Canis lupus familiaris: one gene and its partners. The protein of the gene in region 2 interacts with the protein of the main gene of each other region in a biochemical or structural test. Links are inferred from orthologs where the notes say so. Each region holds a gene or a part of one and is shown on either strand. Other genes may lie near its edges.

The links.
Region 1: of the proteins of ZAP70 (region 2) and LAT, one has a biochemical effect on the other in vitro, tested with the Homo sapiens proteins (2 studies listed by BioGRID). The link is inferred for Canis lupus familiaris from reciprocal best matches to the Homo sapiens genes ZAP70 and LAT.
Region 3: of the proteins of ZAP70 (region 2) and LCP2, one has a biochemical effect on the other in vitro, tested with the Homo sapiens proteins (2 studies listed by BioGRID). The link is inferred for Canis lupus familiaris from reciprocal best matches to the Homo sapiens genes ZAP70 and LCP2.
Region 4: the proteins of ZAP70 (region 2) and ERBB3 form a complex in vitro, tested with the Homo sapiens proteins (2 studies listed by BioGRID and IntAct, with this or other methods). The link is inferred for Canis lupus familiaris from reciprocal best matches to the Homo sapiens genes ZAP70 and ERBB3.
Region 5: of the proteins of ZAP70 (region 2) and SHC1, one has a biochemical effect on the other in vitro, tested with the Homo sapiens proteins (2 studies listed by BioGRID, with this or other methods). The link is inferred for Canis lupus familiaris from reciprocal best matches to the Homo sapiens genes ZAP70 and SHC1.

The regions. Positions count from the first base shown.
Region 1 is NC_049227.1:18,622,126-18,627,985, reverse strand, and holds the start of LAT (linker for activation of T-cells family member 1), read right to left. Parts: upstream 3,605-5,860; 5' UTR 3,246-3,604; coding exon 3,152-3,245; intron 2,973-3,151; coding exon 2,945-2,972; intron 2,832-2,944; coding exon 2,797-2,831; intron 2,519-2,796; coding exon 2,431-2,518; intron 2,297-2,430; coding exon 2,232-2,296; intron 2,141-2,231; coding exon 1,966-2,140; intron 1,886-1,965; coding exon 1,791-1,885; intron 400-1,790; coding exon 337-399; intron 198-336; coding exon 135-197; intron 1-134. Other genes in the region: SPNS1 (protein spinster homolog 1), read right to left, coding at 4,393-4,487, 4,767-4,938, 5,272-5,370, 5,634-5,699. UniProt on the Homo sapiens protein: Required for TCR (T-cell antigen receptor)- and pre-TCR-mediated signaling, both in mature T-cells and during their development.
Region 2 is NC_049231.1:45,972,218-45,978,119, forward strand, and holds the start of ZAP70 (tyrosine-protein kinase ZAP-70), read right to left. Parts: upstream 3,749-5,902; 5' UTR 3,610-3,748; intron 1-3,609. Other genes in the region: C10H2orf92 (uncharacterized protein C2orf92 homolog), read right to left, coding at 3,917-4,052, 5,698-5,848. UniProt on the Homo sapiens protein: Tyrosine kinase that plays an essential role in regulation of the adaptive immune response. Regulates motility, adhesion and cytokine expression of mature T-cells, as well as thymocyte development.
Region 3 is NC_049225.1:42,543,003-42,548,356, forward strand, and holds the end of LCP2 (lymphocyte cytosolic protein 2), read left to right. Parts: intron 1-223; coding exon 224-301; intron 302-2,080; coding exon 2,081-2,236; intron 2,237-3,747; coding exon 3,748-3,870; 3' UTR 3,871-4,494; downstream 4,495-5,354. UniProt on the Homo sapiens protein: Adapter protein primarily involved in signaling pathways within T-cells, as well as other immune cells such as platelets, mast cells, and natural killer (NK) cells.
Region 4 is NC_049231.1:764,200-769,553, reverse strand, and holds part of ERBB3 (receptor tyrosine-protein kinase erbB-3), read right to left. Parts: coding exon 5,316-5,354; intron 5,175-5,315; coding exon 5,056-5,174; intron 4,952-5,055; coding exon 4,810-4,951; intron 4,471-4,809; coding exon 4,357-4,470; intron 4,264-4,356; coding exon 4,143-4,263; intron 1,929-4,142; coding exon 1,855-1,928; intron 1,676-1,854; coding exon 1,585-1,675; intron 1,347-1,584; coding exon 1,141-1,346; intron 934-1,140; coding exon 801-933; intron 420-800; coding exon 329-419; intron 112-328; coding exon 1-111. UniProt on the Homo sapiens protein: Tyrosine-protein kinase that plays an essential role as cell surface receptor for neuregulins.
Region 5 is NC_049228.1:42,485,895-42,492,038, reverse strand, and holds the start of SHC1 (SHC-transforming protein 1), read right to left. Parts: upstream 3,485-6,144; 5' UTR 1,827-3,484; coding exon 1,353-1,826; intron 759-1,352; coding exon 688-758; intron 128-687; coding exon 64-127; intron 1-63. Other genes in the region: CKS1B (cyclin-dependent kinases regulatory subunit 1), read left to right, coding at 5,202-5,260. UniProt on the Homo sapiens protein: Signaling adapter that couples activated growth factor receptors to signaling pathways. Participates in a signaling cascade initiated by activated KIT and KITLG/SCF.

The DNA of each region.
Region 1 (5,860 bases), on a different chromosome or scaffold from region 2:
GGGAGGGGAGGGAGGTCTTCGGCTCTCAGACCATCCCCCCTTCCCCAGATGGGCTCCCCAGGCTTGGAACCCAGGCTGGGGGTGGTTGCCCCACCCCCACCCCCCACCCCACCCTACCCCTGGCCAGCACACACCAGGGTCGGTCCCAGCCAAGGACGGCAGCTCCTGAGACACATTCACATACTCCCGGCTCCCATCTGCAGGGACGGATGAGAAAGGAGGCGGCCACGTGGAGGGTGAGAGAGCAGGACACTCAGAGAGGGGGTCACAGCAGGGTGAGGGAGGGAAGGGGGATTCCAGGGAGCCCCCCCCCCCCCCCCCCCCCCCGCCACTCACCCAGAGATGCATTTGCACTTTCCTTGCTCTCAGGGACGTTCACATAATCCTCCCCCGACTCCACTGTAGGAGAAGCAGGGCCCCCGGCACCGTCACCCAGAGGGCCGAGCACAGGCACCCACGGCATCCCCACTGGACTCCTGACAAGACCAGCCCCAAACTCCCACCCACAGACCTCAGAGGTCACCCCATAGCCAGCCCTGGGGGGGTCCCACAGAGGCCTGGGTGATGGAGAGAAGTAGGGTAACTTGGCCAGAACCGATGAGAAGGAGAGGAATTGTGGGAGAGAATGGACGGCAGACCCTGCCAGCATGTGCCCCAGGCTGGGGGTGAGGCTGGAGAACGGCTCAGAGCTGAGGCACCGGTGCCGCCGGCCAGGCCAGCCCTGCACCCCCAATCTCGTCCCAGTGCCCTCCAGGCCCTGGCGCTCGGCACCGTCTTGCCCTTTCATGCCGACTTGCTCCTCCACGAGGCCGTGGACAAGGCGGGCTCTGGAGCCAGAGCGCCCAGGTTCACGCCCGGCGCCAGCGCTCACAGTCGTGCAACCTCACAAGAGGTCCCTAACCTCTCTGGGCCTCGCTGTTCCCCCCAGTGTAAGAGGGTGAGCAGCAGCACCCCCTCCCAGGGGTGTCATGAGAACTAACGCAGAGAATATGGAAACAGGGCCTGTCCTACGGCAAGTGCCGCCGAGGGCCCGTTAAATAAATAACCCCTCGTGTCGTACAGTCGGGACAACCGAGGCGCAGGATGGGGAGACGTGGGCTCAACAGCACCTGGGAACCGTGACGTTTAATAAGTTAGTGCACCAGACACTCAGGAGGCAGGGAGTAGGCTCCCGACAACACTAGGCCTCATCCTGACGCCGCCTCTTGAGCTGTTTGATCAGAGGCGCCCAGTAAATATGGTGAAGGAGGGAAGGACAGGGGATGAACAAATGAAGGAAAAGAAGCCCTGGCACAGATGGCGAGTTGGCGATTGAGTTGGCAAATGGCACCGGATGGGCCGAACAGGTTTGGAGAATGAGGACAGGGCTGGAAAGCTAAGCTCGCCAGGCGCGGGAGGAAGCCTCCAACAGGCAGCGTGAGACCCACGCGAAGGGAGAAAAGCAGCTCAGAGGAAACCGAAACGATGCCGGAAGCAGAAGAAAACTTCCCAAAGCCCCTGCCGAAGAAGACAACCTATAAGATTTACAAGATGATGTGGCCTCCATGAGAAAGGAACAGAGGCCAAGAGAGAGCCTCCGGGTGGGAGAGACCGAAGAACAGAGGCCAGAAGAAGAGTGAATCAGAGAAAGGTCGCAAACAATAAAAGGGAAAGACCACGAAGAAGGAAAGAGGATGGGAAGGAAAGGAAATCAGGAGGTCGGAGTGGAAGTGCACCCTGAGGGACAGGCGTCCTAGAGAGAGGAGAGACTGCGGAGGGGCGGCCACAGGGACAGTCGCCCGGGAACTCACTGGAGAAGGCGCTGTCTCGGAGGCTGGGGTTGCTGGGCACCGGAGCCGGTGGGACCGCAGTGCCGGTGGCTGGCGTGCTGTCAGGAAGCACCTCCCTGAGGGGGAGTCGAGGGGCGGTGAGTGAGGACCCCCCTCCGGCCAGGGTCCCCACCAGCCCGCCCACCAGGCCACTCACAAGTAGCCCTCGTTGTGATACTCCTCCTCCTCGTCCTCGTCGTTGTCCTCGCAGGAGAGGTGCTCTGGGGTAACGACACAGCGATCAGGGCGCAGGCCAGGCCCCAGCCTCCCTGCAACCAGGGCCCCCGGGGCCCCAGACGCACCCTCGTTCTCGTAGCTCGCCACACTGTTGGCTTCGGAGAGAGAGCAAGAGGGAGACAGTCAGCTCAGAGGGGGTCTCGCCTCTGCCCAGCCCCAGCCGTCTGAGCCCGGCTCCACACTTACCACCATCTGAGTCCTGCCGGGAAGATGGCATGCGGTGGGAGCCCCCGGGGGGCTGTGGGGACCTCCTGGGAGTCAAAGGTCACAGGTTATGCTGGGGTGGGGCTCTGGGACAAGCGGATTGTCACAGGGAAGGGGACCCCCAATCTACAGAGGTGAGCCGGGTAAAGAGGGCGTTGTGAAGGGGGAGGATGCTACTTACGGGATGGGAAGCAGGTCCGGCTGGCTCAAGGGTGGGTAAGAGGTAACAGGCCCATAGGATGGGGCCGATGGCCAGGGCACAACTGTAGCTGAGGACACAGGACCAAGCACAAGGAGTGACTCCAGACATCTTGCCCCTACTCTCATTGAGGCCTCAAAGGATAGACTAGCCCCATGAAACCTCCTGTGCCCTGGACAGGCCCGAGGACACCCATCTCCCTCCCTAGTCCCAGATCAGGTCAAAGCCATGTGGGCAGCCACGGTGGAGGGAAGGCAGGAGGGGGGACCTGAACAAAGGCACACAATCTCTCATGCGCCAGGGACCCTCTCTCCTACACCCAAGGGAGGGGACCCTCCAGGTACTCACGAGGTCTTTTGATCACAATGCTACTTGGGGTCAAGCTGGCAAGAGAGACAGAGCTTGGTCAGGGGCAGGAGAGGCCCCAGCTCCCATCCCAGCCCCCAGGGTCACACAGGGTAGTGAGGGAGCCACACAGGGCCCATGGACAACTCACCTATCAGAGGCGGTGCTGTCATAAGAGCCTGGGGAAGAGAAGTCAGTGAGGCAGGAAGAGGGGTGGCGAGGGGAGAGGGTGGGAGCGCAGGGCTCTCAGGTCTCACACACGCAGGACAGAGGTAGGATAGAGCAAGGGGGTCAAGGAGGGCCGAAGATCCCCGAAGGCATGTCCTGAGAGCGGTGTTACCCGGCAGCCCGCACTCACCTGGCAGCTCTCGGCAGCGCACGCACAGCACTACGGCCAAGAGGGGCAGCAACAGGAGGCCCAGCATATAGGGGATCAGGACGACGGCCTCCATCTGCAGCAGAGCTTGGACCAGGCCTGGCTGCCTGCCGCCCAGCACGCTGAGCTGCGGCAGGGTGTGAGCTGGGCCAGCACGGGTGCGGGAACCCAGTGGGCACCAGCCTGGAAGCCTGACTGCGGGCCGGCTGTGCCCTCCTTGGGCACTCCTTGGACCCCCTGCCCCTTGCCGGGCCTCGCAGGGGTCGGCACTGCCTAGGGAAGACCCGTGATCCCAGGGCAGACCGACCAGGGTCTGGGCCGGAGTCTGGGGCGCCAGTCACCCCTGAGCGGCCCCCGCGCCCCAGCCCTACCTGCCCCTCGGCTAGGCGCCTGCCTCTCAGAGCCTGCCCGCCTGTGGCAGGAAGCTGTGGTGAGCCCCGGGTGAGGGCAGGAAATCATCGGGCTCAGCCGGCTGCCCCCGCCCCCTTCCCACCCCCACCCAGCCAGCGGGGAGGGGGAGGAAGAGGCCTTTGGAGCCACCCCTGGGTCCTCAGGAGGGGTCTGCTGGCCTCCGGGACAAAGAGCTATTCCTACCAGGGAAGGAGGGCAAGATAGTTACAGGCCACCCGACAGCCATGGCGTCCACAGCCAGGACTCAAGGGGGCAGCCAGGAGGGAGGCCCGGACGCTGGGAATCAAGGGGCACGGGGCAGTACCCACCCTACCTTACCCTGGCTGGCCTACCAAGAGGGGCAGGCTCGAGGGGAACCATGGGCGTGACTCACAGTCACACTGAGCTACTTCACTCCGCACTCTTTTTCACCCGGCCCAGGAGGGCAGGGATTTGCCCAAGGTCCCACACAAGTGACCCCATAGCCCCAGGAGTCCTGGGGCCAGAGTAGGGGCATCCCCTGCAGACAACCAGAGGTCAGTAACACCCACAGAGACTCAGGCAGGCACTCAGGGTCTGGCTACAAATTTTATTCAGTTACAAATAGCACCGAGCCCCTGGGGCTGCTCCAGGGGAGGGGAGTCCCCCTCCCAGACCCCCCAGAACCTCCCCACCCTGCCCTTGGCTGCTGCCTGTGTAGTGTGTGGGAGCCGGAACATGGCCCACAGCCACTCCTAGAAGCCAGGCCAGGCCGAGGGTTTGCGCCTGGGCACCTTCTGGGGTGGGCCTGGGGCCAGCTGCGGTACGTATGCAGGTTGGTGTGCGATGGTCCCTCAGATAAGCACACTGGACACAGGGACCCGGGTGGAGCGGCCTCGCTGGGGTACCACAATTCGGTCATCTGCAGGTCCAGCCTCACGCAGCAGACCTGCCGAGGGAGGGGTCAGAGCCAGGGCTGGATAAACAAAAAGACACAAAAACAGGGAGGGGACAGAAAGGCAGTGGAAAGTGGACAGGGCCAGCAGACCCACCAGAGCCATGAGCACAGTGGGATATCAGTTCGTTGGCCAGGCAGACCCAAAGCCGAATGAGGGAAGGGCTGTGGGCTCAGGGAAGCCAGGGACACGGGCTGGGACAGATGGACAAGCAGGCAGTATCCTGAAGTCGGCAAGGAGCCACGGGCGGACAAAGGGAAGGCCCCACTGACCCTGCACGTGCAGCTGGGCCCGCCGGCGGTCGCCCTCGATGAAGATGGCAGTGCCCAAGAAGGCTGCCCCACCCAGGGCCCCCACGAAGGCGCAGAGCATCAGCGAGAACTGCAGGGCACGGAACTCGGACAAGAAGGAGGGGGGCCAGCTCCGGCGGAGGCGGTCGGAGATCTGCAGAGAGACGAGTAAAGCAGTGCCAGGAGAATGAGCCACAGAGAGGGAGCCCCTGGACTCCAGAAGGACAGAGGTGTCAGGAGCCGGCAATGAGGGGCAGTCTGGAGGACTGGGGAAGGTCTTGTGGCCCCACTGTTCAAGGTGCAAACAAAACCCTGGATGCCCGGCTGAAGGTCCAAGGTGAGGGGTACCTAGCACACAACACACAAACACCCAACTGGGGTCAAACCTTCTATGTCGGCCCAAGCTCAGGCCGCTGCCTGCTGGCAGGTGCCAGGAATTCAGTGTCCCCGAGCCCCACCCCAGGCCCAGCTGAGGGGCAGTGCTCACCAGGCCGATGAGGTAGGGGCTCCCAGCATCACCCAGCAGGTGGGACAGCACAATCTGGAAGGCCTCAGCAGTGGAACGTCGTGTGGGGATCACCACGTACTGGGGAGAGGAGGGGCAGGGGGCAGAGGGCAAAGACAGGGCCAAGGCTCAGCCCAGGCTGAGACCAGAGGTGAACCCAGGTCAGGAGTATAAATGGGGCACACGCCCAAACTACAGGCCCATCTGGGGCTGACTGTGAAGTCAGTCTGGATTTGGGTTTTGGAAAAGGGGCACAGGCCACAGGGAAGGCAAGCGAGGCCTCCTGCCCCCAGTCCTTACTTCCGTCAGCCTCTGGGCCAACCCTGAGCGGCCCACCTACTCACCAACAGAATGTCAGCCACGATGGCCCAGTTCATGGACAGCAGTGTCTCTCCAATAAAGATGAAAATCTGAGGGGTTGGAGATGGGGAGACCGAGGTGGTGAAGAGGTTGTCTCATCACAAGAAGAGCAAACACATGGAGGGTACACTATGTACCAGGGCCATCTACTAACTCACTTAATCAAATCCCCAGAATACCCCTGTGAGACAAAGCCATCATTCCTTTTTTT
Region 2 (5,902 bases):
ACCCTCCCCTCACTCAGCCATGGCCAGGTTGGCTAGACAAACCATGGAGCTGAAGGTGAAAGGCCCCAGCAGGACAGCTGACTAAGAACACAGGAAGACAACTCTAGAGGAAGAGGGAAATGAAAGGGGAGGCTCTCAGTGAGCCCATCCATAGGCAATGGATCCACTAATCCAGAGGTTACAGGTGTCTAACTGTTCTGTATAGATCAATGTTTTTGTGATTTGTCCCACATAACCCACCACCTAGGCCCACATATACACAGGCAGTCCAAAGAATGTTGTTTGTGAGACTCGTGCTTTGTGAATAATCTTGGGAGCATGTTTAAAATATATCATCTGGCCTCCAGGTCAGAACTGGCTCTTCTGTTCTGGATGCCAAGAGCTACAAATCTTGTGTCACATCTCCTCCTGCTCCAGGATGGGCTGAGGCAGACACACATAGCCTCGGCTCCTTGAAAATATAAAAACATGATACCATGGAAATGCAGCTCGCTCCAAACTGCACGGAGGTGAACAAATGTTTAATTTCAAATTCTGTTATCTGCCCTATAAGTACAGCCCTTATGGGGATGGTCAGCTGGAAGTCTCACCTGAGAGAGGACACTCTGTCCAGGCCTCTCAATCGGGGCTCAGCCTGGCTGTTTCCATGGGGCTTCCCCAGCTATGAGTCTGGATATTGTAAGGACCTGATCTGGTGTACCTTTGCCTTATTCTTTTTTTTTTTTTTAAAGAGATTTTCTTTATTTATTCATGAGACACACACAGAGAGAGAGAGAGAGAGAAAGAGAGACATAGGCAGAGGGAGAAGCAGGCTCCCCACAAGAGGCCTGATGTAGAACTCAATCCTGGGAACCCAGGATCATGCCCTGAGCCGAAGGCAGGTGCTCAACCACTGAGCGACCCAGGCATCCCTGCCTTATTTTCATTTCTTGCCTACTGTTACCTTCATCTGTGTATAGATTCCTTTCCTCTTCTGTTTCTATTAGGTTTCTATAATAACAATAAACTTTTTATTTATTTTTTTTTTTTGCCTTTTCGAAACTAAAACACAATTGCTGTGAATCTTTTGTACAGAACACGGACCTGAACTTGTTCCTTAAATGGGAGCCTGGTAGGGGTGGGGTGGGAGGCCAACAGGAGGGTGGGCTGCCTCTTGGTTCTAGGGTCCCAAGAGGTAGGGATGAGGATGGGATGAGGATGGGATGAGGATGGGATGAGGGTGGGAGTGCAACCTATCAGCTGCTCAAGGAAGAGTCTGGTATTTACGGTGTGCCTGCTGTATACCTAAGCCCTGACAGCCTTACCTCCTTCCAAGTTGAAGGGACACCAGCTATCCACTGCCAGGAAGGCTTTTCTAATTCCTTTTCTACTTCCTCGATGCCCCCAGCCCAGCACAGTGCCTGGCATACAGCAGGTGCTCAATAAATAGTTCTTGCCGAATGAACCACCTACAGCCCTATGAAAGAGGTAAATTCCTACCCCCATGGCAAAAATGAGGACATTGAGGCTCAGAGAAGGTCAAGGCGGGACCGATACTGGAGTCCACTGGGCCCAGCCTCCCAGGAGGCCAAGCATGGGACATACCTGGAGTTGAGAAGTCCCTCTGTCCCTCCTCCCTGCTCAGTGGTGACACTGTTGGGGGCTTAGAAGGATGGTTCAGACCAGCACAAGACAGGCCCAGGGCTTCCAGAGCTCTAGGACTCTTTCCTTATGTAGGACCACCAGACACCTTTAGGCATCTGAGCTACCTCTGCCCTCAGACTGCCCCATCAGCTGCCCCCAGGAAAGCCCAGTAAACCTGCCATGAGCAGGTATCTCTCACTGCCTGTCTTTCTCTACAGCCATTGATTCAACATCAAATTCTCAAACTTGAAAGGATTTGGTTCAAAGAGAGAGGAACATGTTGTCTGGCGGCGGCGGGGGTGGGGGTGGCTTAAAAAGAGGACAGAGGATCCCACTTCTCAAAGGGAAGTCCCTTAGAACTGGAGTCAGCTGTATACTTAGGGGGTCTACAGAGTTTGCCAAGAGCTGAAGCCAGCAGGGCTTGTCAGGGGCATTAACCTGGACCCAAAGAGTCACAGTGACTCCCTGGTGCTGGTCCATCACCCAGATCACCCAGGCCAAGGCCTGAGCCAGCCACAGTTGGATTCAAACAAGAAAGTGGGCTGATTTTTCACCGAGGAGAGAGGGATACAGAGGAATGCCCCACTCAGATCCAGCCTGGCCTTGACTTGTCCTCCAATTCCCCATGGCTTAAAGCTTTGAGGGCTTCCCCACTTTGGGAGAGCAGACAAAAAAAAACATATGACTGGGAAAACCCGAAGGGAGTCCTTGATGTAAGCCACCCACCAGGCCTGCTTTTCCAGAACTCCTCTATCCCTGGGGACAGCTTCACTCACTCCACCTCCCAAAAAAAGGAGACTAGAAATCCTCCCTACTAATTCCTCCTCAGCAGGTCTGAAGGGTGACGAGCTGGGCTACTCCAGCGGATCCCCGGGGCTGGATTAGAATCCAGGCTGCCCTCTTAGCTATGTGACCTCTAACGGGTGACCTTACGTCTCTGAGCCTTCCTTCTCTTGAGATAAGATGACAATCATCCCTCAAGGAATTTACATTCGCAATAGGTTCTCAGCAAGTGCAGCTTATTAACGTGCAGGATGGGTCCCAGACTGCAGGTGCCCCAGGAGACTTACTGCAGCGGCGCACCAGCCAGGAAGGGAGCGCCGAGGCCGCAGCAAAGATTTAAAGAAGCTTCTGTAAAGAACCTTCTCCAGTGGAGGGAAGGGCAGGCTCAGCCTGCATCCGGGGAAACTCTAAGTGTCTGAACAAGAGCCACCGGTGCCTGGCCAGCAGCACCCGGGAGCCCGGCCTCCTGCGTGCGCAGGGGTGAGCGCCCGCCGTGCCTCCCGCCTCTAATGCTCCCCAACGCACCCAGGTCCTCCCCCAGTTCTGCATCTGCTCCGGCTGGCCCCGCGGGTCCCTCCGATGTGCCCCCCCACCCCGCCCCGCCTCCTGAGGCACCTGCCTCCCTAGAGCCCGGTTCACATCCAGGCGAACCCCCCACCCCGATGCCTTCCAGCCGGGCAAGGCCCGAGCCCTTGCCCGCCTGGACCCGGACCCTCTGCGGAGGCCACGGCCCTCCTGCTCCCCGACTGCCACCGGGGTCCTCTCCCTGCGGCCTCCCCCCATCTCAGTCCCCCCGGGGGGCCGCAGAGGGTGTGCAGCCCCTTCGGGTGGCGGCTGGGGCGCAGACCAAGGGGAGGCTGCAGGATCCAGGCGCCCCTGCCCAGCCCTGGGGCAGGCCCCTGCGTCCCCGGCCCTGCAGAGAGGGCGTCCCGCTCTGCTGACGCCGCCTTCCAGCGCAGGGCCTCGGGCTGCTGAGCTACCCTGGCAGCCTCTCCCGGCTCCTGCAACACCAGGCGTCCCCCACCCCTTCTCCCCTCCCGACCCTTCCTGCCATTGAGCTTAGAGGCCTCAGTCCACCACCACAGAGTTTCAGCCAGCTGTCTGCCCTCTCCTGGAAACCTGCGAGGGCCAGGCCTGCTTCCAGCATCTTTGGTCACCTCATGTATTTTGAGATTGTCTACATATCAGGTGCTCAATTAATACCTGCTCTCTGAATGGCTGAATCAGAGAATTGATGCTTTAATAAATCAGTCAACCCAGAGTTGGTCAGGTTTGTCCTCTGGCAAATGTGCTGAGTCTCCTGCACTAGCCATGAGTGCCGCACCACACTACAAGCATCCTGTGGTAAAACATTTGTTCCTTGGTCCATTCAAGATCGCACTGAGAAGGTAAACATTTTGTAGAGCACACCTCACAGCCAGAAATCCAAATGCCTCTCCACAGTGTCTGGATGGAGAATTGCTTGGCACCACAGCTTCCAGTCCTGCGTTGGCTGGCCACACCACCTGGCTTAGATATGGGACTTGCTCTTCAACAACTGTTTCTGTTTATCGCTGTGTTTTCTGAGGTTCTTTTCTTGATACTTTTGCCACCAAGACTTCCCACTCATAATAAAAACATTATACGTCGTGTTTGCCGGAGGATGTCTAAAATAAAAAGACACAAAACCATATTTTTTTGGTTTTCTGTCCATATTTTTGGACAGGAATTCCTACTGTCTACTCATTGGCTGGTGATATAGGGGGCTGTTTCTGAGGGATGAGCATTCTACTTCCCATCAGGGAGGTCTGTCATGTGTGAAATTTATTTTGCCTCTGGGCACCAGAAAGCCTCTGGGAAACTCCTTTCCTCTACTTTCTGATAACACAGGCTCTCCACAGATTGCCTCTGTGGGACGGAAGCACAGTCTTGACCACTTCTGATACCTCCAAGAGGCACAGAAGGGAAGTGACAAATCTGATTAGATAAGCCCCAGTAAGAACTGTGAAGTGGGTCAATCTTATTTCCAGAAGCTCTTTAAATCTTCCATCTCTAACTCCTGCCACATTCTAGGCTCCCCTTTCACTTCAGGGACCCAGTTCTGTCTCAGAGGAGGAAGCAGGATGTGAGGTGGTCCTGGCTAGCCTGAATGAGTTACCAGTCCCAGGAATCTTGGTGTTTAAAGAACTCCTTTAGGGAAAGCAATGTCACTCTTGTGGGCAAATTTAAGTACTGTTACCTCCAAGTTGGGTGGGGCGGGACACTTCACCCTCCCATGCCACACCACAGCCGCCTTTCCCTGTGGACAGGCCAAATACACAATGCGGTATTAGGGAGGACCCGAGGGGCCTTGGGAAGCTGCTTTTCCCTGTGATTAAGCAGTGTGTCTCAAGAGATACAGATGGAGGCACATAATTTCAAGGTGCTATTACTGCAAATGTTTAATCTTGTAAGCCATTTACTTTCTAGTGCCTACCCATGGTTGTGGCCACTGTGCCAGAGCCCTCTCATGGCTAGGTGGGGTGGGGTGGGGTGGATATTTGATATATTTAATAAGTGCTACAGACAGACAGTAGTCAAATAAAGTAGCTACTGTCAGAGCAGAGCCCTGGAGGGCCACTGCTGGGCCAGGCATTAACCCTTCATTTGCAGGATCCTGGGGAAGACTGGGAAGTCTGTGGGAGGTCCTGGGAAGGACCAGTGGAGGGATCTTTCAATATTCTAACAACCAATACTGCTGACCCATTGTGAACAGGCCAAATAGCCCTGAGCTCGTCTCCTCCACAGCCTCATCCCACCCTGCCCTCATATTTTTATTTTCCAATCTTTCAGCCAGAGGCTGTACCATCTCCTCATTTAGTGGCCCTCAGTGTGGAAATAGGTGTAGCCTAACCTAAGGTCTTTAGAGGCAAGCAGGGTCCAAGCCATACCCAGCTACGCATCAAAACCACCAAGGCAGGGCAACCCCAGTGGTTTAGCGCTGCCTTCGGCCTGGGATGTGTGATCCTGGAAACCGGGGATCGAGTCCCATGTCGGGCTCCCTGCATGGAGCCTGCTTCTCCCTCTGCCTGTGTCTCTGCCTCTCTCTCTGTGTCTGTCATAAATGAATAAAAAATCTTAAAAAAAAAAAAAAAACCACCAAGACAATGCTTAAAAATTCATAGCCTGGGCCATTGTACTTTATGACTACACAACCAGGCTTAGATGTCCCTGCCTTCCTCCTAACTCCAGGATTAGCAAGAAGCTCTGGGGCTCCATTGTCACAAATACCCATGAATTCTTTGAAGCAAATGGGAGCTAAGAGCCACTCACAATGGCCGTTTCCTCCTGATGCACGTGGTCAATGCCAGCAGCAACAACGTTGTGACCACGAGGATTCCCGCCACCGAGGCAGCGGCAAGGATGATGTTCCTCTGGAGAAAGTGCAGAAGCTGTGTACATGGCACATTCTTATCTTGAGTATCTAGATGAAAAGACACATGGCAAAGTAAACAGAAAGAGACAGCCCTTGATAGAT
Region 3 (5,354 bases), on a different chromosome or scaffold from region 2:
ACAACTACCTTTGCAACCAGTGTCATGATAAAAAGTATTTCATGCAAAATATCCTCTATTTAACCCCACCTAAGTGATTCTATATTCAAATTAAGAAAACAAACATTTCAGAGCTCATGGAATTGAGGTGGTGATTTATGAAAATGATTACTTGGAGACTTTTCTTTTCACTTACATATGTAACCGCAAAATTTATTCAGTTTTTAAAAATTTACATTTTCAGAATTCATTAAATGAAGAGTGGTACGTTTCTTATATTACCCGACCAGAGGCAGAAGCTGCTCTTAGAAAGATAAACCAGGTACTGTGCTAAAGTTTATTTTTAAGTAGTTATAAATATTGATGGAAGGAGAAAAAGGGAACTGGCTTTTATTGAGGACCACTTATGGGCTAGGAATTCTGCTAGGTGATATTCATGCTGTTATACTAGGGGGACCCATTAGTGACAGCTTTATACCTACCAGCATCCATAGCAATGATTCCTAGGATCTGGGAAAAATCTAAGTTAAGGCAGTCATTCAGTTGGCAGAATCTGAGAAGACTTTATTAACTAGAAAGGTCTGTCTTGTCATAGGAAGCATAGCCTTATCAAAAGGAGACTCTTTCCCCCAAACTTTGAACATCTTACTGATTCTATCTTCATTTTTAATACACAATTGTCATCTACACTGATGTGAAGGGGTCCATATGGAGAGAGACAGCAGAAACTTCATGCCCTTTCCCCTAGAAATTTCTAGTTTAACCAGATCTCCTGTGGTCTGGTAAGAACCATAACCTTAAATCTATATATCAGAGAAAGAAAAACAAAGATCCTTCATCTCTCAAGTCTTGAGTCTACAAGAATAGTTCTCAATCTTAGATGCACATTTAAATCACCTGGGGATCTTAAAAATTCTGATTCCTGGGTTTCACCTGGAGGGATTCTGATTTAGTTAGTTAGGTGTTTTGTGTGGGTTCTGGGAGTCTTCAAAACTCTAAATTCTAAATTCTGACTGAGAATGGGTCCACAGTTATATTTGTTGAATAGAAGATGTTCTGAATGGAATTTACTCAATTGAAATAAAAAGAACAAAGGAAAGCCATTATTGCAGATTGATGGCTATTTAAAACCATCATGATTTAATACACAAACGAGGGAGTAGTTTAAAGCTGCCTTACTAATTAATCCTATTTTAATATTAGATCTTTGTAATATTAATGTTATATAGCAATAATTTATGGAATAACATTTTAAAGTACAGGACAAATCACAACACTATTTTAGTAAACAGAAAAAAATGGTTAAGAATGCAAGATGGTCCACATTTATTTATGGTCAGGTGTTTTTTTTGTTTTTGTTTTGTTTTGTTTTGTTTTCTTTTTTTGGTCAGGTGGTTTAATGATGAATGTTTTACATGGAGATCACGAGGTTTTTAAATGGATGAATTTCATAGGCATTTGTGTGTTTTCTGACTTTGGCTATGAAAGAAAGGATTAGGGAATTAGCTCCCAGGAGTAGGAAAACAGATACTTAGTTAACCAATAAAGTCCTTATTTTGTCTGGCCCTTTATCCACTCAACCACTTATTATTTGTCTTATTACTACTGAAAAAACGATGTATCTTTCATCAAGGGACTTCAAAGAGGTCTCTGAAATTTGGAAATTTCTCTAATACAATCTTTGCTGCCTCTTGACAACCAAATCCATGGCACATGGGACTGTAACCGTTCAGGGAACTAAATGTTCACTGACTTGTCAACTGGTTACGTTTCTAGATCTTTAGAGGCTTGTCTACTGCTCTTACAGGCAACACAGACGGTGATATTTACTGAGGCACCTGGGTGGCTCAGTCAGTTATGCCCACTCTTGATTTCAGCTCTGGTCATGATCTCAGGGTCCTGGGATGAGCCCTGTGTTGGGCTCTGTGATCAGCAGGGAGTCTGCTTGAGGATTCTCTCTGCTTCTCCCTCTGCTCCTCCTCTTACTCATGCATGCACACTCATGTGCTTTCTCTCTCTAAAATAAATAGGTTTAAAAAACAATTAAAAAGGAAGTATTGACATTTGCTGCTCACATAATAACATGAATTTATTCTTTTAGGATGGCACTTTTCTGGTTAGAGACAGCTCTAAAAAAACAATAACTAATCCGTATGTCCTCATGGTGTTGTACAAGGATAAAGTTTATAACATCCAGATCCGTTATCAAGAGGAAAGCCAAGTTTACTTGTTGGGAACTGGACTCCGGGGGAAAGAGGTAAGAAATTTCAGTTGCAAAATTTCCTCAAATCCTCTGTTTATGCCATTTCACATACCTGTCAATATGGAACCTTACTGTAATATTCTTTGGGGATCCATACTGTATGGCACTGTTAGAGTTAAATTTCATTGGTGAAGTCCTTCCTTTACTGGAAGGAAATAAAACAAAATGACAGTAGCTACCTGTGCCATGGAGTCTTTCTTATGTCTTTTATTCCAAGTAGTCTAAAATCACACGTATAACTTATAAATTAAAAAAAATAATATTTGAATTTAAAAACTGATAGTGTCAAAGGTAAGTCATTTCTATCATTCACCTCTGTAACATAATTTTAATGTAAGATTGAAGTGTACTTATAAGGCTGTATTGACATTTAGAAAAGGGTAAAGAAACAAAAGCAAACCCAGAATTCTTGTTGTGGTGATTATTTAAATACTTGAGTCCTTTTTCACTTAAAAAAGAGGTTTGGCCAATGAAGGTGGCCAATCTGCCAGGGAATTTTTCCTCTGTTTAGCCAATGTTTATGCTAATTACTTTTTGGATGGCAATCAAAAAAGCTGCTTTTGCAAAGGAAACTAACAGCTAAACTTAGGCTCCAAACATATTTTTTAAGTTCAAAGTTCCAGGAGGAAGATCAGCTGAATCAAACATTTCCAGAATGAAAACCAGATAACTCTTAATTTCTACTTCACTCCAAATATTTTTAAGTTATGATTATGTAAATGAACAGGAAAAAAAACCCCACATGATTCTGATCAGATGTTTCAATCGCTGGTTCAGTGTGGATAGAGCTGCAAAGCTGCTATAGAGACAGAGATGTCTGCCCTCTAGAACTTCTGTTGGTCTGGTGTGAGAAACATAAGTAGAAACCATACATTGCAGCTGCCCTTGAAAGAGGCGCCAGCAGAGTAGTTTTGGAGGAAGTGCATATCCTTCCTGGGGTACCTATGTGATTTTGATCTATGTCTAGAGGGATGCATTTTTTTTTTTCCAGTCTGGCCATTAGGGATAAGATGATGAAGGCAATGGTTGCAAAGACTTGGCTGCAGAGACTTTGTGAATGTCAGGTGGCACTGAAGACATAGCAGAGGGATCATGAGGGAACCATTGTGCAATGCTATGGATATCAGCTCTAGACACTGGGACACTGACTTCCTGATTTCTTATACCTCATCACACTATTTGTGACTAAGAGTGAAGTAGGGATACAGAAACCAAAATAAAAAACACAGAGTAATCCTAAGGCAAATACACACACATATATATAGTCTTTATCCATAATTTGTTGCTGTTGATGAATTATTTTTTCAAAATTCTACAGCAGAAATCATTAAAATATTTGCGAAGTATTAAATATTTTTTCTTACCATCCTCATAACTTGTAGAGGTAGGATATAATGCAGGTAAAAAACAAAACAAAACAAAACAAAAAAACGAAAAAAACCTGAGGGTTAAATTCATGCTACTCATCCCAATGTTGATTTATCTCCTTATTTTGAATTTTTCAGGACTTTTTGTCTGTGTCAGATATTATAGACTACTTCAGGAAAATGCCACTTCTGCTCATTGATGGGAAAAACCGAGGCTCCAGATACCAGTGCACATTAACACATTCTGCAGGTTATCCCTAGCGAGTTAGGCAAGCAAATGAACCTTGCTCCTGCCTCTGTTGCCAGCATGGGAAGATCAATCAACCTTGGTGAACGGACAAACACTTAGGACTGAATCAAACCCCTCAACATGAACACAAGGTTTTGACCTTTCATATAAAAAAGTGTTTGAAATGAAGACTGTCAAATATATCATAATTTATTTATTCTTCTTCAATGTTTGTAAGCATGAGTAATACTGTTCACACTTGAAGTCTAGTAGTGCACTGTAATGATTCATTTAAAAAATGTGTATTTTGAAATATTCATTTCAAAGTACAGTAGTTTGCATAGCTACAGAAATAATTTGAGGCAAGATTAAAAACACTGAAACAGTAATAGTTTTTGATATCACATAAAACTGATTTTTTAATAGCTAAACCTTTGTTGTTAGTCAGAGGCAATCATCAGTTTTATATATATGATTTGAAAATTTCCAAATTTCACTTTCTTGGCAGCAATAATTTAAGAGGCTTAAAACTAGTTCATCCTTTCTTATTTGTTTCTTTTTTTTTGCTGGGGGCATATTTGTGTACTTTTTTATGAAAAGATAAATGCATGATGCGATAACTTCCTAGGATTAAAATTAATTTACCTTTTGCTTTACTTTTGTGTTCTTAAAACTATTGACTTTGTTTAGTCCATCCTATTATATTTTTGTTTTAAAGCAAATTTAAGCTGTTAATACCACAAGTAATCATTTTAAATTTAGAGATAAGGCTTTGGTGTCAAATATAGCTGGATGTAAGTTCATCACATCCCAACACCCACATTCCACCTCCCCTGCAACTCCCACAACTCCAAAAGCATTTCCAAGTGATGTCGATTTTATCCAAGTCTTCCAGCAAAGATGAAAGAGCAATGCATATACATAGAAAAATGTGACCAGACTTTCCTATTAGATGCCTTTCTTCTATCTCTTTTATCCCCTGACAACTCTACCATAAAGCCCTTCTCATTGTCATTCCTAAAAAGGCTTTATAAATCCTTTGAAGCAATACAGCTCTTTCCTTCAGCTTACTCATCCTACTTAGCAGACAGTAGTAGGTGTTCAGCACAACAAAACCAGGCATTTGGTTGTTGTTCTTCAAGTTTTCCCCTTTGGGGCTCTGTTATTATTCCACAAATTTTATTAACCACAAAAATTTTTGGCTTCTCTAGTTAATCTGCAAGTTTTCTGAGTGGCCAAAAATATCTTGCACCTTCATTTTCATAAGTTTATTAATAGAACATCAGAAGGGAGCTTAGAAGTTACCTGGTTAAAACTGATAACTTGCTAAGATAACAGGTATGTGGAGACTTTTAACCAATGATGATAATAATGTTTCATCAAGCTTCATCTTTACAAACTGGTAGGTCTCTAGGGTCCAGAGCTAGAGAGTTCTAAAGTTGAAAAATCTGCATTCATTTACATGCTTATGCAACAGGATGTCAACAACCATTTATTTAGTGCCTAATCTGTGTTA
Region 4 (5,354 bases), about 45 Mb from region 2:
GTCTGGGTACTTGTAGATGGGGCCCTTGGCACCGAGGACTCCATTGGGGCAGCTGCTCACACAGTGCGGCCCATCTCGAAAATGGGCACACTGAGCACAGGCATCAGAGCCCTGGGTGGAAGAGAAGGTTGGGAAGAATGGGATCCCAAGGCCAACTTCACCCATCCCAGCAAGGACCAACGCAGCGATTCAGGATGCTCCATCCACAGACCCTAGGGTTATCTGGCCTCCTTGTGCTGGCCTTGTGATTTGGCCATTATCATTCTCAAGACCTTCTAGTACTGCCCATGCTCTTCCTCCCTTAGAGATCCTGGTGTTGCTACTGTACCGAGCCATTGCATGTGGCAGTCCCCTCCATGGGTTGGCACTCCGGGTGGCAGGAGAAGCATTCAGCTTCATGGGCAAACTCACGAGGCTCCCTGCAGTGGGGGGTAAAGGGAAGGGGTCACTTATAAGTCCTGACCTTTATGTCCAACCACAGGGTCCCCTTGCTCGATCCCACCCAGGCATATGCAGAAACTTGTCTAGGGGCGCCTAGGTGATGCAGTCAATTAAGCATCCAACTCTTGGTTTCGAGTCCAGTTAGCTCAGGGTTGTGAGATCAAGCCTCTCATCGGGGCTTGAGTCAGCTTGGGGTTCTCTCTCCCTCTCCCTCTACCCCTCCCCGCCCTCTAAAATAATTATTTTTTAAAAAAGGAAGAAAGTGGACTAAAGGCTTTCAGGTACCAGCTGAATAGCTGCATCCATCCCAGGGCCCCATCCTCCCACCCCTTCGTGCCTCTCTCTCCCCTCAGTGTTACCCATTTAGAAAGTTGCAGTGGGTCACACAGACACCTCCTCGGCTGTAGTTTCGACAGGACAGGCACTGACCAGGACCTGGGCCCCAGCATCCCCCAGAGGAGCACAGGGGATCACACACTTTGCCCTCTGCCACTGGGAAGGAAGGGGTGAGACAGGAGGAGTCAGCTCTCCTCACGTGCCTTCTGCTGAGCTCTTCCTCTTAAGTGCCTCCAGCCTAACACACCCCTCTCCTTGGCTCTACCCTCTGATCCCTACTCCTGAGCAGAACAGTTTTTACACACTGTACCCTCTCCTCCCTGACTTCTTTTTCCCGGCCACCCTCTGGGCCCTTCCCCTCACCGCAGTCTCTGCGGGGCCGATTATGCTTGATGTCCAGCCTCTCTTCTGGAGGCCCCCGAAGCAGCCTGGTCCAGTTCAGAGAATGGTGGTAGCAGAGTTGCTTGTTGGCACTTATGTAAATACGCCCAGCACTAATTTCTTTCAAAGATCGGAGGCCCAAAGATGTTATATTCAAGTTCTTCATGATCAGCAAAGAGAAACCCCGGCTGAGAACAAGGAAACGAGGTAAGAAGGGAGATTACACAGGGGAAAATGACCATGCAGTGGATTCCTTTTCATTTAACCAATGTGCTCTGGGCCAGTCAGACCGGGAAGAGAGATTCCCCTTCCAACTCTCAGCCCTTTGGGCATGCTGAGACAACACGTGTGCTTCACTCAAAGATGCCTAAGAAACAGGGTTCATTGCCTGGAGGTACTACCACCACCACACTCCTAACTACTCACTTGTATAGGCTTCTGCCCCCAATGGTTGTCAGGTTGGAAAAGACACTGAAGTTGTGCATGTGGGGAGGCCAGGACTGGATGTTCAGGTAACCTGACGGGTTGGAGAGAGGCGCGTCAGCGGGGAAGGAGTCTTCCCTTCTTGCCTTCTCAGGTTCTAGTGGCCCCTCTCCCATCACTTGGGACATGACTTTGTAACTAGTTATACACCAATTTGTGTCAGTGGTTCACTCATTTCTCTCAGAAAGGGTAGCAGCCTCTCTTCCCACTCACCTGTGATCTCCCGTACTGTCCGGAAGACATTGAGCTTCTCAGGGTCCAAGGCAGGGATCTTGTGCCAGGGGTCTCTGGAGAGAACAGTCAAAACCAGTCAACAAGATACAGGTACAACCCAGTCACACCTAGCCTCAGAACTTAAGTTTCTTTTTTCTTTCTTTTTTCCTTTTTAAGATTTTATTTATTTATTCATAAGAGACACATAGAGAGAGAGGGGGGCAGAGACACAGGCAGAGGGAGAAGCAGGCTCCCTGCGGGGAGCCCGACGTGAGACTATCCCGGGTCTCCAGGATCACTCCCTGGGCTGAAGGTGGCGCTAAACCACTGAGCCACCCGGGCTGCCCAGAACTTCATTCTAATACCATCCTCCACTAAAAGGAAACAGGGCTCCTTGGAGAAATGAGTAGGGCGGGAGAAATATAACATGAGTTTATAGCATCTTATGCAAAAAAGGAAGTAAGTGCTCAGAGAATGAAGGGTACAAAGAATCTGGGATCTGGCTTGAAGAAGCCCCCAGTGGCCAGAACAGAGACAAATCAACACCAAAATAATAACTGTAAAAGATTATAAAGGACTGAGTGAAATAGGTACCAATCAATCAATCAATGGGAAAGGAAAACTGTTCCTAACACTAAAATGCCGACAAATAAATGCAAAAGGAATAATGGAGTTAAAAAATCATCATGTGGCAACTCTCATCAAAAAATTGATTCAGGGGATGCCTGGGTGGCTCAGCAGTTGGGCCTCTGCCTTTGGCTCAGGGAGTGATCCTGGAGTCCCAGGATGAGACCCACATCGGGCTCCCTGCATGGGGCCTGCTTCTCCCTCTGCCTGTGTCTCTGCCTCTCTCTCTCTGTGTGTCTGATGAATAAATCAATAAATTTTTTTTAAAAATTGATTCAGGGGGCGCCTGAGTGGCTGTTGGCTGAGCATCCAAGTCTTGGTTTTAGCTGGGGTCCTGATCCCAGGGTCATGGGATGGAGCCCCAGGCCAGCTCTGTGCTCAGCGTGGAATCTGCTTGAGATTCTTTCCCCCTTCTTCTCCCTCCCCATGTGCTTCTTCGCCAACTTGCACACCCGCACACGTGCACAAGCGTGCACACGTGTGTGTGTGTGTGTGTATAAATAAAATCTTTCTTAAAGTAAGTTGATTCGGGCAGGGGCACTTGGCTGGCTCAGTAGTGGTGCATGCGACTCGTGGTCTCAGGGTTGAGTTCAAGCCCCACGTTGGGTATAGAGATAACTTAAAGATAAAAATCTTAAGGGGCGCCTGGGTGGCTCAGTCCATTAGGCATTGGACTGATTTCGGCTCAGGTCATGATCTCAGGGTCCTCCACGTGGGGCTGTGCTCCTGACATGGCCCCACTTGGGATTCCCTCTCTCCCTCGCTCTTTTTTAAAGGATTTTTAAAAATTTATTCATGAGAGACACAGAGAGAGAGAGGCAGAGACACAGGCAGAGGGAGAAGCAGGCTCCATGCAGGGAGCCAAGGTGGGACTTGATCCTGAGACTCCAGAATCACGCCCTGGGCCGAAGGCAGGTGCTAAACCGCTGAGCCACCCGGGCGTCCTTCTTCCTCTCTCTCTTACATAAAGGGGTGCCTGGGTGGCTCAGTCAGCTGGCTGTCTGCCTTCACCTCGGGTAACAGTCCCAGGATCCCAGGATCAAGTCTCACATTGGGCTCCCTACTCAGTGGGGGAACCTGCTTTTCCCTCTCCCTCTGTAGCTCCCCCTCCTTGTCTCTATCAAATAAATGGTTAGATAGATAGATAGATGTAATAAAATCTGAAAACAAAAAACAAAAAAAGTAGTAGGAGAACACAATTTCTTTGTCCACTGCCGTGCAGTGAGACAGTTATCAGATTCCTTGGGGGGGGTCTCAAGGGATTCAAGTCCTGGGTGGCAGACAGAGTTAGGAATGGTCAGGTACTGTGTAACCTTTAAAATTTCATGATTTATATTCCTTTTATTTTTTTTATTTTTAATGATTTTTATTTATTTTGAGAGAGAGAGAGAGAGCAAGCAGGGGGAGGAGCAGAGGCAGGGGGAGAGGATCTCAAGGACACTCCACACTAAGCACAGAGCAGGATGCGGGGCTTGATCTCACGACACCTGGATCACGACCTTAGCTGGAACCAAGAGTCAGACGCTTAACCGACTGAGCCACCCAGGTGCCCCTGTGATTCGTATTCCTAATCAGCTGCACATATGAAGGGTTGAGCCAAATGCAATGAACCGTGAGAGGATGGATGGAGTGGGGGTTAGAGAGGGAATGCAGAGTCTAACCCATTGAGGCCAGTGATCAGAAAGTCCAGGTTGCCCAGGATCTTGGTGCAGTTCACAAATCCATCAATGTTGCTCGAGTCCACAGTCTGGAAGCGGCTCCCGGAGCCTGTCCCCTCACAGGCTGCAAACACAAAAGAGGCTCAGTGGGTGGAGCCTGATTGGTCTCTGGGGAAAGGAAGTTCTCTTCACCAGCTCTTCACCATCTCCTACTCACCTTTGGGGCACAGCCCCCCACAAGGTTCACACATCTTGAGTCCATTTTTATCTACTTCCATCTTGTCAGGAGGACAGGCCCGGACACAAGACGTTTGATCGACCACAAAGTTATCTAGGGAGAGGAGGGCACCATGAGAGACAAGAGAGGAACACTGCCAACGAGCAACTGAACCTTGCTCCCTCCTGCTCTGTGCTGGATCTGTCCCAAACCACCACCCAAGGTTCCTTAAACGCTGTCCTATGGCTGAGAAAAGCTCTTTGCTCTTTGTTGCAGAACTAGGAGCAGTTGCTAGAAATCATGGGAAGTAGACAGGACAGTGGGGAGAGGATTCACCGGAGGTGATTAGATTACAACCTACATCCTCTACCACCCAACTTGATCCCTATATCTCCTAAAATTTTTTCTAAAACCCTGGCTCTACTATCATTGTTCCTCTTCTTAGACACTTACGGGGACAGCTGGCTACACAAACTCCACCATACTGATACTTGGTGTGGGGATTGGGTTCCAGCTGGAAAGTTAGCTTGTTGTAGACCAGAGGCTGTGGACACTGGCGCACACAGGCCCCGCTGTCATTGAAGAGTCGGCAGGCCTAGGAACATAGGAAATTCATAAAACTCACATTATGTAAGTATTCCTACTTCCTCCCCAAAGCCCACATCCCCACTTCAGAACCAGGCAAACAGTGGTACATACAAAGCAGTCTGTATCCTGAGGGCCTGAGCAGCCCCCTGCACACTCATCATGGCAGCACTGGTTGGGGTTGGGCCCAAAGCAATGACCATTACACTGAGGGGCACAGATGGTCTTGGTCACTATAGAAAGAAGAAGCACTGCAGTCAGGGCTCTGACTCTTGCCCTCTAGTCTAGGCTTGTCCTACCCCCGGTGTTGACATAGGTCGGGGCGGGCAGGGATATTAAAAGTGTATGAGGTTTTTGGAGGGGAGTAAACCCACATGTCTGGCAGTCTTCTGGTCTAGGACCCCAGCATCGCC
Region 5 (6,144 bases), on a different chromosome or scaffold from region 2:
TTATCTTCCCCCTGCTCCTCCACATTTCCCAGCAGTGCCCCCAGCCCCATCAGCCCCAGGTACCTTTCTCCTTCTTGTAGCCCCCTTGGCACCGGGCACAGCCTCACACACCAGACTGATGGCCTCCCTGGAGAGAAAGGGGTCCTCAGACCCACAGCCTGCCTCCCACTCAGCTGGGGCTGCCACAGGGCAGGGGGAGGGGAAGACCAGGCCAGACTTCAGGGGCACTCCAGGCTCTTTGTCATGGTGGATTGAATTAAAGGCCTTTAATATTTGATGACACGGAGAGGCCACTTCCTGGCTGATTGGGTTAGGGCCTCTGTGAGTCTGGCCCCACCTACTTCCAGCGACCAAATGTCCCATTCCATCCCAAAGGCAGCAGCAATCTTCCATCCACCCCATTTTATACTCAGGCTCCAGCTGCCAGCTGCCTCTGCCACCTCTCCCACCATACACAGGACTGGATAAATAAGAAGGTCCCAGACCAGAGAGGTGCTGCTTTTCATTCAGACTTAGACTGATTCCCCTAACTTTCTCTCAATCCTTTATCCCTGAAGGTAAGCCATCACTAGCAAGTGACCAAGACCCACTCCCTCCTATACTCACTGATCCAGGAGCCCACTCCCCTATGTACCCCCTCTCCCCTCATTAATTCAGGAATCCCCAGTCTGCCCCCTCCCCACTAACCTGGTGACTTGGGTGCGGGTGTTGAAGTCCAAGGCACGCATTGACTGCAGGACCTCCACACAGCCCATGTACTGAAAGGAGGAAAGGAAGGTAACGAGTCAGCACCCCCTCCACAAAAAGAGTCCCAGGCCTTTCCCCTGAGTGCTTCCTACACTTGATCTTAGCCAAAAGGCTGACTCTGAAGAGTGAAGACCAAGTTTTGCCCACAGCCTGCGGCTACACCCACAATGTGCCAGACCACAGGAAATGAGGGGCGGAGGATCGAGCAAGCCAGGAGGGCCTGGACATCTGGGAAGAGGATCTCGAGGACAGTGATGGGCACTGGGGTGGGGGGTGGGGAAGGTGACATCCCCAGAGGGAGGAGGCTGGAGGATACAATCAGGACCGCTCATTCCCACACTTACTAAGGGTGGCAACGTGCTGGGCTTTGTGCTAAGCATGGCAGGGTGGGGGAGTCACCAGAAGTAAGGGGCCCAGGCAGAGCTGGATGGGAGGGGCCGCAGAATAAGAAAGGGGAAGAGAGAGGTGTGAGAAGCGATCCTGAAACCAAGGGAGGTACCGGCAAGAGCAGAAAACGAGAGGCTCCCAGCTCGGCAAAGCTGGAGTGAGCAGAGGAAGGAGTCTGGGAGGGAGCAGGGAGGACCGAATGGGAGACATTCACTCACCCGAACCAAGTAGGAAACCCCAGGTCCCATGACTTTGTCGTTGGGATGTAGCCAGCCCCGTGTGGGCTTATTGACGAAGCTCCCGTGGCGGGTCCACTCCTCGCCCCCCAGCTGGCCCCCTTCCACCCGCGTCCTGCGCCCGCCTCCTCCACTCAGCTTGTTCATGTCCTGGAGGAGGGGCAGGGGGGCTGAGTCCAGCACGGCGGCCCCTCCAGTCCCCTCCCCATCCTTAGAGGCCCTTCCTGGCTCCCCAGCTGGGTTAGCCAGCTTCAGGTTGCTCATCCGGGGGAAGAAGGAGCACAGGGTAGTGGGACTCTCATCCCCAGGCAGAGGTGGCAGGATGGGCCCCAGGGAGGAGGCCGATGGGGAAGGTAGTTCCTCCGGTGGGGTGGACCCTGAAGCCCCTTCCTCCAGCGATGACAGAGACTCATTCCGAAGTGGATTGTACTTGGGCTTGGGGGGCAGGAGATCCATGGCTGCAGTGAGAGGGAGGCTGCTGCCCAGCCTGGCCCCCCTGCCAGTCAGGGCAAGGGGGCCAGGCAAGGGGCATCCCCAGGCCTTTAGTCTGCTCGGATTCTATGGCCCAGGGATCTCAAGGATCCTGGGGAGGGAGAGTGACAAGTGGCACCAGCGGCCCCAGGCTCAGACCCAGATAGTTTCAGGCCCCATCCCCCGCCCAGCGTGGAGCCTCTTCCCAGGCGGAGAAGAGAACAGGCTGGACCAGAAGCAGCCTGGCTCCTCCCCAGGGGCGGGGAGGGAAGGCCAGAGACCAATCCCGAGGACAGTGCTGACTCACAGGCTCCAAGGGGCTAAGCCCCCACAGCAGCCCCAGCCTAGAACTCTGGCAGGGATAAAGCTCTCGGTGCCCCCACCCTGCCCCGAGACAAACCACCAGTAATCTGGGGAGGAGTAAAGTGGAGTGGGAAGGAAGGATGTGGGAAAGAGAAGGAAAGGAGGGAAATAAGAAGAGGTCTGGATCCATCCACACAGGACATGGGCAGGCCACAGGGAGCAGGAAGCTGCGGGAGGGTAGGGGGACCGGGACAGGAAACAGAGGGAGCTGGGAGTGGAAAGGAGGGGACCCCTGAGCTCAGCACTTCTGTTCCTGTCCTGCTGGAATGCCCCCCCTCCTCCAGCCCTATCACACCGTGGGGTGGTGGCTCTGGGGAGCCTGGGCCATTAGCGCCCTCTGCTACCACAGCTGGGAACAGGTGGTGAAGGGAAGAGGAAAGCATCCAAGTGGTCCCAGTGGACGCAGGGAAGGCCCAAGAGGAAGCACGAAGCTGGAGAAGTAACGGGAACAAAGTCCAACCTGGGTGGTGCACCAGGGAACCTTCAGGCAGGAACTGGAGCCTGGGACGGGCTGATGGAGTCCTGCCCTCCATGGCTGGCACCTACCATGCCAGGGGCAGCAGCCCACAGCCAAGCACTCTTCTGTACCCCATCCCACAGGTCTAGTTAGCAAAGCAGGCTGTCACGGGCAATTCGGTGACAGGGTACTGACACAGGGGTCGGCTTCCTGGGTCACATAGGTGACAGGGCACTGACACAAGGGTTGGCTTCCTGGTCCTGCCAGGCATGTTCATACTCCTTCTCTTAAGTGGAGAAGGTTAGGTGTGCCCAGGGAGCACAGTGCACCCAACACCAGGGGTAGAGTCTCACTGGAGGAGGTGGGAGAGTACAACAGTTCTCCAAGAGAAGTGGGGAGAGGAAAGGACAGGCCATGAAAGCACAGAGGGAGAGGAAGACAAATCTGAGCCGGGGTGCCAGGGACGGGCTGGGGCCCATCCCTTCTGCACAGCTTCCAGCTCCACTAGAGGGGACCTTGAAGGAAGAGGCAAAGTCACCAAAAAAGCACTAGAGATAAATACAACCTCTATGCTCACCTTGGAATTACCTATTCTTAAACTGCAGAAGATACAAAGATGCAAACTAGTAGCTAATAATACTAACACTCAAATCGTGTTAGATACTGTGCTCAACTCTCTCCCCTGGCCTTTAGCTCTCTGGCCTAAAGGGATGGAGGAAAGGCTTCTACCCTGGCCTCTGCAGCCCCTGCACACAGGCCAGGACGTCCTCCCCTGCCGGCGTCTGCACAATCCAGAAGCGAGGACCCGCCCACAGGTGTGGGCCTTAGGAAGGAAAGAAGGAGGAAGTCGGGCTCTTTAAATTTGCATAGGAAAGGAGATGGCCTACAGGGAGTCAGTGTGGCTGGGTGTGTGGGGAGGAGCTGCTCCAGGCTTCTCAGCCCAGCGGGGAGGAGGAGGCAAGTAGCAGGAAATGGCGAAAGCCTCAGGAATGTTTCCAGAAGGGAAGGCTGGGCAAGCGGGACCAGGAGGAATGCCCAGACAAGAGCTCTGCTTGGGGGGGAGGGGAAGAGCCCAAGAAGCGGCGGGGGCTGGGGAGTCCCTTCCAAAAAACTAAACAAACAAAAAAACTCAAACAGCAAAAAGGCCACTGTCCCCTCCACCCACGCCAGGCCACCGTTTCCAGGCAGCAGGACACTCTAGCTCCTGGTGCACCCGCAGGTTGCACGCCAACCTCACGGCCCTACCAGCTCCCGAGGTGCGGGTGCTAGCCCTACAGCTGTCTCTGGGGCGGAGTCTGTCCTGGGCTGGGAACCCAGGAGCAAGTCTCTCGGCCCCTTTGGCGCCAAACCCCAAGTCCAGGCCCCTCTCCGCGGGGCAGGGGGAGGGGCAAGGGAGGCGGAGGGCGGCCCCTGACCTCGCCCGGCTCGCCCCACCTGCTGGAGCAGAAGCACTGGCTCCGCAGAGCTGAGCCCCAAGCCCAAGGAGAAGAGAAGCTGTGTCAGCAAGGGGCTTCGGGACTACCACAGCGCTCCGAGGGGCGGAGCCCGCCCCACTCTGGACGCTGCCCAGGGGGAATGGGCCCCACATCACGGGTACCGGGCACTGTAAGAGGCGAGGCTACAGCACCGCCCGACGCCATCAGGCGGGGGGCGGGGCCTCTCGGAAGGCGTAGCCTCTGGGGCGGGGCTGCCGGCACTCGGCCGGGCCTCGGAGGGGCGGGGCTCTGGCCTCCTGGGGGACCCGTCGCCAGAAGGCGAAGAATCGGAACTCAGAGAACTACCGTCAGGTTTCTCACAGTCGGACTTGGAAGCATGTTCGGGGGTGGGACTTCCAGGAAAGCTGGGCAGCAGGGTGGGGTCGTGGACAATACACAGAAAACAAGTCGGGGTTCGGGGAGCCCCCTGAAGATGGGGGTGGGACTTCCGGGGAGGGGGGTCTCAGGGGGCGGGACTTGCACATGAAGACCGGAAGTAGGGTCCCGGGAGAGGGGTTCCGGGGTGGAGGAATGGGTCACCTTAGGAGAGGGAGAAGACCTAACTCACCAGGGCCTCATGGAGTCTCCGCACCGCACCGCGGCTCGATTTGGTTCCGGATCACGCCACTGCCTCCTTAGGTCGCCGTTCCAACTTTCTCCCCGGCCTGGCCTCCCTGAAGAAACTTTATTGCACTCACTTCCGGCCTCACTAACCCCTGACCCTCTACCTCAGCGTCCCTCCTTCAGCCGTCCCACTTTGCCGAATCAGCCAATGGCAATGCGAGAACGCGCACGGGGGCAGGAATAGCCAATTAGAGGCATATTTTTTCCCTACGCTCATTCTTGACTAACGTAAGCAGCGCGGTCCAATAAGGACTCGAACAGAAGCAAATCTAAACCAATCGGCGGCTTGAAGGTGGAGTAGTCCCGCCTTAAACCATGGGGTCCAATAGGAAGCGCGGGCGGCGTGTTTGAAAGCTAGGCCAAAGTGGGTGGGAGCGCGTGCTGCTGGGAGTTGTTTGGAGGTTGCCGGAGTGGGCCTGACGGTCCTCAGGCTGAGTGATCATGTCGCACAAACAGATTTACTATTCGGACAAATACGACGACGAGGAGTTCGAGTACCGGTTAGTGCCGCCGCGGGGGCCATAACGAGGTCGTGAACTTTGACAAGTGAGGGCAAGAGGAGTTAGTCACCGGGGCTGAAGCAACAGGACCGGCGCATGCGCGGGGGACTCCCGGGGCGCGGGCGCGGAGCGTAGCAGGGCGCCTGCGCGAGGGCCTGGCGGCGAGAGGGCGCGGACAGCTGCGGACCGCAGTGTGTCCCGCGCCGGGGAGCGGGCGGAGGGGGCGTGCCTAGAGCTCGAGGCCTCCGCACCCCGCACCATGCGGGGTTCTGGATCGTTCTGGGAGCTTCCCCGGGCACGTGGAGGTTGCCCGCTGGGGCGTGCTGGAAAGAAGTGGCCGCAGCGGTGCTGAACGATCCGGGAAAGGGGGCGCGGGCGTGCGGCTCGTGGGAAGGTCTGACCCGGCGACGCAGCGCCGCAGGCTCGGGAGTTGCGCCCGGGCACGGTGTGACGGAGGCAGCGCCGCCCCTCCAGGAGGAGTACCAGGGAAGAGCGAGGATGCTGCCCGCGTGCCGTTTTGGCTTCTTCCTGGAAGAACGTGGGATGGAGACTTGGCAGGCTTGCGTTTCCTTCCCGGCCAAGTGCGGGGCTCCGGGGACTCGGCGTGTGCTGACCCTTGGGGGACCCAGGCCACTTAGGTTTCTTTCCGCCGCTGACTGTGCGCTGCCACCTCTGCAGAGCTAGTTTCAGCTCCCCGAAGTTGTAAGTCCGGGCGCTGGCGTTGGGGGGCGTCGGTCGGGTCCGATTAGGGATCGAAGACGCTGTTTGTGAAAGAATTTGCTACTAGTACACACCTACTGTGTTTTCCCTGAGCATGATGGGGTCTATCTGGAGTAGCCCAACTCAGGTGAGAGTAAGGATTTTTTTTTTGCCATGAAAGGAGA